Linked DNA regions of Macaca fascicularis. The protein of the gene in region 1 interacts with the protein of each later gene in a pairwise test. Links are inferred from orthologs where the notes say so. Each region holds a gene or a part of one and is shown on either strand. Other genes may lie near its edges. The genes, in order: GPSM3 and GNAI3.

What was found.
Region 2: the proteins of GPSM3 (region 1) and GNAI3 interact in binary tests that used the Homo sapiens proteins (3 or more experiments, as listed by UniProt). The two-hybrid records come from large-scale screens. The link is inferred for Macaca fascicularis from reciprocal best matches to the Homo sapiens genes GPSM3 and GNAI3.

The regions. Positions count from the first base shown.
Region 1 is NC_088378.1:139,519,133-139,523,047, forward strand, and holds GPSM3 (G-protein-signaling modulator 3), read left to right. Parts: upstream 1-1,306; 5' UTR 1,307-1,710; coding exon 1,711-1,752; intron 1,753-1,972; coding exon 1,973-2,075; intron 2,076-2,314; coding exon 2,315-2,514; intron 2,515-2,718; coding exon 2,719-2,856; 3' UTR 2,857-3,458; downstream 3,459-3,915. UniProt on the Homo sapiens protein: Interacts with subunit of G(i) alpha proteins and regulates the activation of G(i) alpha proteins.
Region 2 is NC_088375.1:124,756,977-124,760,791, forward strand, and holds part of GNAI3 (guanine nucleotide-binding protein G(i) subunit alpha-3), read right to left. Parts: intron 1,958-3,815; coding exon 1,829-1,957; intron 1-1,828. UniProt on the Homo sapiens protein: Heterotrimeric guanine nucleotide-binding proteins (G proteins) function as transducers downstream of G protein-coupled receptors (GPCRs) in numerous signaling cascades.

The DNA.
Region 1 (3,915 bases):
AATAAGTGGCAGGACCAGATCTCTTCTTCATCACATTTCACATTCCAAATCACTCAGCTATAAACTCCCTAACATGACAGGCTGCCATTTAGAGGTACCAAATGGTTGTCTGCCCTGCTCCTTCCTTGATGCCAACCAACCTGATTAGCATTGATCAAAGACCAAGCCAGAGAGGTAGTCCTCTCCCTTTTCGATTTCATTTCATTTCTTTCTTTTTCTGAAACAGGGTCTTGCTCTGTTGCCCAGGCTGGAGTGCAGTGGCACAAATGGCTCACTGCAGCCACAACCTCCTGGGCTCAAGCAGTCTTCCCACCTCAGCCTCTCATTTTTCCATATCTACATCTCTTATACCCAAAATAGGTTTTCCCTTGCCCCTTATCTGCACTAAACTATAAGTTTCCAAAATGAAGCCTTCCTGTACTCTCACATTTGGTACACATCTTGTCTCCTGAATAGAGTGTATATTTTATTTTATTTTATTTTATTTTATTTTATTTTATTTTATTTTTGGAGACGGAGTCTCGCTCTGTCACCCAGGCTGGAGTGCAGTGGCACAATCTTGGCTTACTGCAACCTCTGCCTCCCGGGTTCAAGCAATTCTCCTGCCTCAACCTCCTGAGTAGCTGGGACTACAGGCGCATGTGGCCACGCCCGGCTAATTTTTTGTATTTTAGTAGAGACGGGGTTTCACCATGTTGCCCAGCTGGTCTCGAACTTCTGAGCTCAGGCAATCCACCCTCCTCGGCCTCCCAAAGTGCTAGGATTACAGGTGTGAGCCACAGCTGCCAGCCATCTCCTGAATAGACTATAAATACCTGAAGGTCAGGGATTATTCAATACATATATATTGAATACTTAATACGTGTTGGACCCATTGCTAGGGTTTTGTTTTTGTTTTTTTTTTGAGACGGAGTCTTGCTCTGTCACCCAGGCTGGAGTGCAGTGGCCGGATCTCAGCTCACTGCAAGCTCCGCCTCCCGGGTTTACGCCGTTCTCCTGCCTCAGCCTCCCGAGTAGCTGGGACTACAGGCGCCCGCCACCTCGCCCGGCTAGTTTTTTTGTATTTTTTAGTAGAGACGGGGTTTCACCGTGCTAGGGTTTTATGTATATATTTGAGAGCTCCACATCCCTAGGTCTGAATCCTCTACTTCCCACTGGAACCATGCCCCCTCCCAGACCCAGTAAGTAAGAGGGAAGATGGGGAGGGCCAAATCCTACAGCAGGGTCTATCTCAGGGAGGGAAGGGACCTGGTTGGGGGGAGGGGGATTCTGAGGAGTGAAACCACTTCCTGTGTAGCTAGTTCCTGTGTTGACAGAAAGAGCAGAAGAGGAGGTGGGGTGGAGGGAGCAGAGTCAGGGATTAGGGGGCTACTGAGGCTCTGGAGATGAGACTGCCAGGAGTCCTTCCCCACCATCAGCCCCCTCCACTCCTGCAGCTGGAGGAGTTTTTCCCAGTCTCTGTGCTCCCCTGGGGTGACAGAGACTGAACAAGATGTTTGGGTGGGAAAAGAGAATGGAGGAAGTTGACAGGGATGGGCGGGGCCCGTGGGGGGGCTGACCAGGAACTCAGCTTCCTGCTCAGTACCCAGGCATCCAGCCCCCAGCTCACCCCCACCCCTTCCAGCCCCCACTCCCCTCAGGAACCCAAGGTTCCGGCCCTCCTCCCAAATCCCAGCCACCCCTCCCCCACCAGTTTCTCCCCTCCAGGGGATGGAGGCTGAGAGACCCCAGGAAGAAGAGGATGGTGAGCAGGTGAGCTGGGCACGGGGTTGGGGAGGCTGACACTGGGAAAGAAGGGAGGTGAGAGGATCTGGGGCAGAAATGTAGGGACACAGGGGCCTTGAAAGGCTTGGGCAAACTGAGGCAGGAACAGAGACACACAGAGAGGAAACGGGCCACTGACCTAGCCCCTGTCCACTCCACCCACTTCAACCACCACTGCTTGACTGGAATGGACATATTTTGGCATCAGGGCCCCCCTCAGGATGAGCAAGGCTGGCCCCCTCCAAACTCCACCACTCGGCCTTGGCGATCTGCTCCTCCGTCCCCTCCTCCTCCAGGGACCCGCCACACAGGTACCCCTACCCACCCAGGGAGAGCCCTGACCCTGGTGCCCACATCCTGATCCCATTACCAAGGCCCAGTCCATTGTGGGCCCTCTCCCCACCTCCTCCAGACTCCCCTTGGGATTACCCATTGCGCCGCCTCTCCTCTGACCCAAAGTCCCTAATCACATCACCCTATCCACACTCCCCCACGGCTCCTGTCTGCCAACCTCTCTGGGTCTCTGAGCCCTCCACACCCCTCTCCCCAGCACTAGGACCCCGCTCGGCCTCCCTGCTCTCCCTGCAGACTGAGCTCCTTCTGGACCTGGTGGCTGAAGCCCAGTCCCGCCGCCTAGAGGAGCAGAGGGCCACCTTCTTCACCCCACAAAACCCCCCAAGCCAAGCCCCTGCCCCACTCCGTCCTCTTGAGGACAGAGAACAGCTTTACAGCACCATCCTCAGTCACCAGGTAAGACATCCCCCCAGGAGGCAAACCCAGGCCTCCTGGTCTCTTGGCCCTGTTCTCTTTTGGGTTCTACTCCTGCTTCTCCCTAGGCACCCCATCACCTTCACAGGTTTCCTATATGCCTCCCCATACCAACCCTTGATCCTCTCAAGAACCTCCTCCCCTCCGACCCTCACCAAAGCTCTTCCTCTGCCTCCACTCCTCCAGTGCCAGCGGATGGAAGCCCAGCGGTCAGAGCCTCCCCTCCCTCCAGGGGGGCAGGAGCTCCTGGAGTTGCTGCTGAGAGTTCAGGGTGGGGGTCGAATGGAGGAGCAAAGGTCCCGGCCCCCCACACACACCTGCTGAGACTTGAGCCCCCAGCCAGCCCTTCCTCGCCCCTGGTCTGAAAGCTGGGCAGCCTATTGCATGCCCTCAACTCTTGCTTGGCGGGGGTAACACAGACTGAAAGACGCAGCGCAAATCTCAATATTCATCGCCCACATCACCTTCCTTGGGAACTGGACGGGGTGAAAGGCCTCAAACTCTGGGAACAGGCGAGGTGGAACGTGGATTTAACTCCCCCCTGCACAGGTCCATGGGAGCTTGAGGCAGTAAGGGGGATCCCAGGCACCCATCTCAATGAGTGGCTGGGAGTCTTTTCCCTAACTTGTGGGGACACCACCAATTGTCGAGCTACTAGGCACTAGGGTCTGAGGGCTCAGGCCTCCTCCTGAGAGGTTATAACCTGAGAGACAGCTCTACCCTTCCTCCCAGTAAGAAGGGAAGGTGGGTGGGCACCTGAGAGATTAAGACTATTCTCCCAGTCCCACTACCAGCACCCCCCATCCCTGAGACTGAGGGGTTTAGAGGCTGTGAATGGACCTTCAGCCCTGCCCACCCTCCCTCCCCACTGCTGCTGAGTCTGTCCAATGTTTTGGTTGTGTGAATAAATGTAATACCCCTCTGGACTGAAGACTGGTGTCTGGGGGACCAGGGCGGGGTGAAGGGTAGGAAGGTGAGGCCAGAGGCCGCCTCTCTCCCCAGTCTGGCCAGAGGCCAGCTCCCCTCCCTGGCTGGTTAATTACTGGCTCATTAAGCAGCGGCTGGAGACCTCCCTAATTATCTCCCCCAGCCCCCCTCTCCTGGTTTTAATTAAGTAGAACAGGGAGGGGAGTCATTAGAACAAGAAATATGAACTGAGCTGTCGGTGAACCCAGGCATTCCAGCGGCGTGAGTCCACATCGCCTAGATCCCTGATTCAGGACCCAGGTGGCAGACCCCCGCAGCCGCCAACACGCCCCCACTCCCAGGCCGCGGAAGTCCAGCCAGGGGGCTTTCCCATATTTTTCAGATGGCCCGTCTCCTCCCCTCAGCCCCTCTTCCCTCTCCCCTCCTCCACTCGGTCTCAGTTCCTCTGTTTCTGTG
Region 2 (3,815 bases), on another chromosome or scaffold:
AGATTACAAACCTTATACAAAGAAATCTCATTCTTATCATCTTATGAGTGATAATCCACGTGGTCTTTGCTGCTCTTGCTAAATAAATTCATCAGTACTAACGACAAGCAGCAAGTCTATTCTAAAAGCATTCAGAGCTGAACTGCTATTTTCCTGCACCAGGAAAAAATCTAGTTTAGTGTATTAGGATTTCAAGACCCTGACTGGTATCTAGTAATAAGTAAACCCTATGTGGATTTCACAAATCCTGTGTAAGAGCTGGTTTCAGACCAAAAACCTGACAGGCTCTGAGGTAGTAGTTACATCTGTATGCAATAATGCCGAACATCACATTCTACATATAAGCATAATAACATAACTAAAGAACACATGGTATATTGAAGGAGAAAAGTTTACTCCTAATCTCAAAGGTCACGAAAGAAGAAAATAGGAACCAAAAAAACATTTCTAATATTTATAAAAGACCATTAACACAGAGACAAGCTGAGGCTTGTTTTAGAATTACTAATGCTGCCAGGCATGGTGGCTCCCAGCATTTTGGGAAGCCGAGGCGGGCGGATCGCGAGGTCAGGAGATAGAGACCATCCTGGCTAACACGGTAAAAGCCCATCTCTACTAAAAGTACAAAAAAAAAAAAAAAAATTAGCCAGGCGTGGTGGCGGGCGCCTGTACTCCCAGCTACTCAGGAGGCTAAGGCAAGAGAATTACTTGAACCCGGGAGGCAGAGGTTGCAATGAGCCAAGATTGCACCACTGCACTCCAGCCTGGCGACAGAGCAAGACTCCGTCTCAAAAAAAAAAAAAAAAAAAAAAAAAGAATTACTAATGCTAATGAGAAAGTTATTTGTATTAGAATACTAGAATTTTCTCTCTCTCAAACTATCACAGTTGGACTGGGCATGGTGGCTCACACCTGCAATCCCAGCACTTTGAGAGGCTAAGGTGGGAGAATCACCTGAGCCCAGGAGTTTGAGACCAGCCTGAGCAATAAAGAGAGATTCTGTCTCTACATATTTTTTTTTGGTAAACATTAGCCAGGCACAGTGGCATGAGCCTACAGTCCCAGCAACTTGGAAGGCTGAGGCAGAAGGATCACTTGAGCCCAGGAGGTTAAGGCTGCAGTGAGCCATGATCACACCACTCCACTCCAGATAAGATGACAGAGTAAGACCCTGTCTCTAAAAAATAAAATTTTAAAAACAAACCAAAAAAAATCACTGTTTAAATGTCATCTTACCAACCCAAAACACCTCTATCCCCATATTTCTGCACTGTACTAAGAACTTAATTGTACATGACACTACGCACAAATTACTTCAAGAGCCATGATAATACTTGCTCCATTCCATTCAACTGGAAGGGAAATTCAAACCAAAAAGAAGTGACACTGGGGAGAAAAGCATTCCTATTTTAATATCAAAATGGCAAAACAAAACCATGTAACTAACCAAAAAAACTGGTTTTCATAAGTTCAATATTGTTACCGTATTAAACATTCGATATCTGTTTTGGTGAGTCTAACAAGCAGCTGAAAAGAATAAAATTAAAACAAACCAGTTATCACAGGAAAAATTTTACTGGGAGGCAAGTTACAATTTATTTTTGAATTTAAATTCCTCTAAATGGACACAAACATTTGATGCTATTTGGAGAAACAAGAGATGTTTGGGCCCCCATTCAGTTAAAATATTCAAACAATGCTGATAAATAGGTTAAGTTTCTAAACCAAGGAATACTGCCCAGAGGAATTTTGCCCTGATTAAGAGATGGTAAACTAAAACAAAAGATACTTGTATTTGGCACACCTAGCAAAAAGGCTAATGACTTACTTGAAGTATAGGTCTTTGAAGGTGAAATGCGTTTCTACAATGCCTGTGGTCTTCACTCTCGTCCGAAGAACATCTTGCTGAGTTGGAATGTAGTTAGACTGGGATATTCTATCCAGATCATTTAGATAACTAAATAAAAGACACACTTACTTTTACTTGGTGAAGCCAACCATGTGCATAGCAAATCAACAGACTAAATTAGTTCCTATTCTAAACCTGTTACTAGTTACTAGAGTGGCAAAACAGAATCAGATCTTCAGTATCATAGAAAAGATAAGAAGCCAGGCATGGTGGCTCATGACTGTAATCCCAACACTTTGGGAGGCCAAGGCAGGAAGATCACTTGAGGCCAGGAGTTCAAGACCAGCCTGGGCAACATAAAGAGACCCCTGTCTTTACAAAATATTTTAAAAATTAACTAAGCATGGTGGTGCACGCCTATAGTCCTAGCTAATCCTCCTACCCTTGAGTGAAGCAGGAGGATCACTTGAACCCAAGAGGTCAAGGCTGCAGGGTGCCACTGTACTCCAGCCTGAGTGACAGAGTGAGATCCCCGTCTCTTAAAAAAAAGAAATAAATAATAAGAAAAAATACGAATCCAACATAGGACAATTAAAGTATAGAGTCTATATACATTAACAAAAGTAGGTTTTTGTTTTCTTTTCTTTTCTTTTTGTTGTTTTTTTTTTGAGACAGAGTCTCACTCTGTCACCCGGGCTGCAATGCAGTGGTGTGATCTCGGCTCACTGTAACCTCCATCTTCCAGGTTCAAGTGATTCTCCTGCTTCAGCCTCCTGAACAGCTGGGATTACAGATGCTCACCACTACGCCCAGCTAATTTTTTGTATTTTTAGTAGAGATGGGTTTTCACCATGTTGGCCAGGCTGGTCTCAAACTCCTGACCTCAGGTGATTCGCCTGCCTTGGTCTCCCAAAGTGCTGGGATTACAGGCGTGAGCCAACGTGCCCAGACACAAAAGTAGGTTTAATTCTACAGAATTAAACTGTGAAGGCCAATTTAAAAAATTAAAACAATAGGAACAGGAAATGTTTTTAGTAAAGAAAAATTCCTGAAATGTAATACTAAATTAACTGCATACTGTATAATACCAAAACCAAATTATACCAAAAGTCCTCAGACAATTAAACTTAATAGGTCATGTGTGTTTAACCATTTGACAGGACATTAGAGAATGGTGTTTAATTTATTAAAATTAAGAGAACTATAGTGAGTAAGAATATTTTCCGTTTTCTTTCAATAAACAGAAGAGTTGGGGAGGTTTGGGGGTTTTTTAAATCTAAACCAAAAACAAATTGTAAATACCTCCAAAAAAAATTAATTTGTTCAGGGAAATAATTAAAAGACTGCTTCAAAACTATATTCTTTGCTGATTTCAGGCTAGAAAACTGATGAGCAGATGGCACCAATATAAGTGAATCATTAATGATCTATAAAACCAAATACTATCACTAATGTAAAGAGGCAAACTTAGATCAACTGTTATGAAAATCTCTATAATGTAAGCACATGTAGTTAGAGGATTCAGAGCTTTCTGAATGAATGATGAAAAAAGCAATTATAATCTACTTTTGTTGACCACTGGTAGAATTATTTAAGCTCTCAATACCTGCAACTAAAATATGTTATTAAAAGGTAGGCAAGAATCCTGAAACGTTTCTAAAGTCAAGTTCTCACTGAAAGAATAAGAAAGTTTTCAAATACAGTCATGCGCTGCATAACAATGTTTTGGTCAACAACAGACTCCATAAATGTATGCTAGTGATCCTGTAAGATTATAATGGAGCTGAAACACTCCTAGTCCCTAGTGACATCATGGGCCCTATTACCCTTTTATATGTTTAGAGATGTTGAGATATACAAATACTTACCATTACGTTACAATTGCCTACAGTATTTAGTACAATAACATGCTGTACAGGTTCACAGTCTAGGGGCAACAGGATATACCACAAAGCTTAGGTGTGTA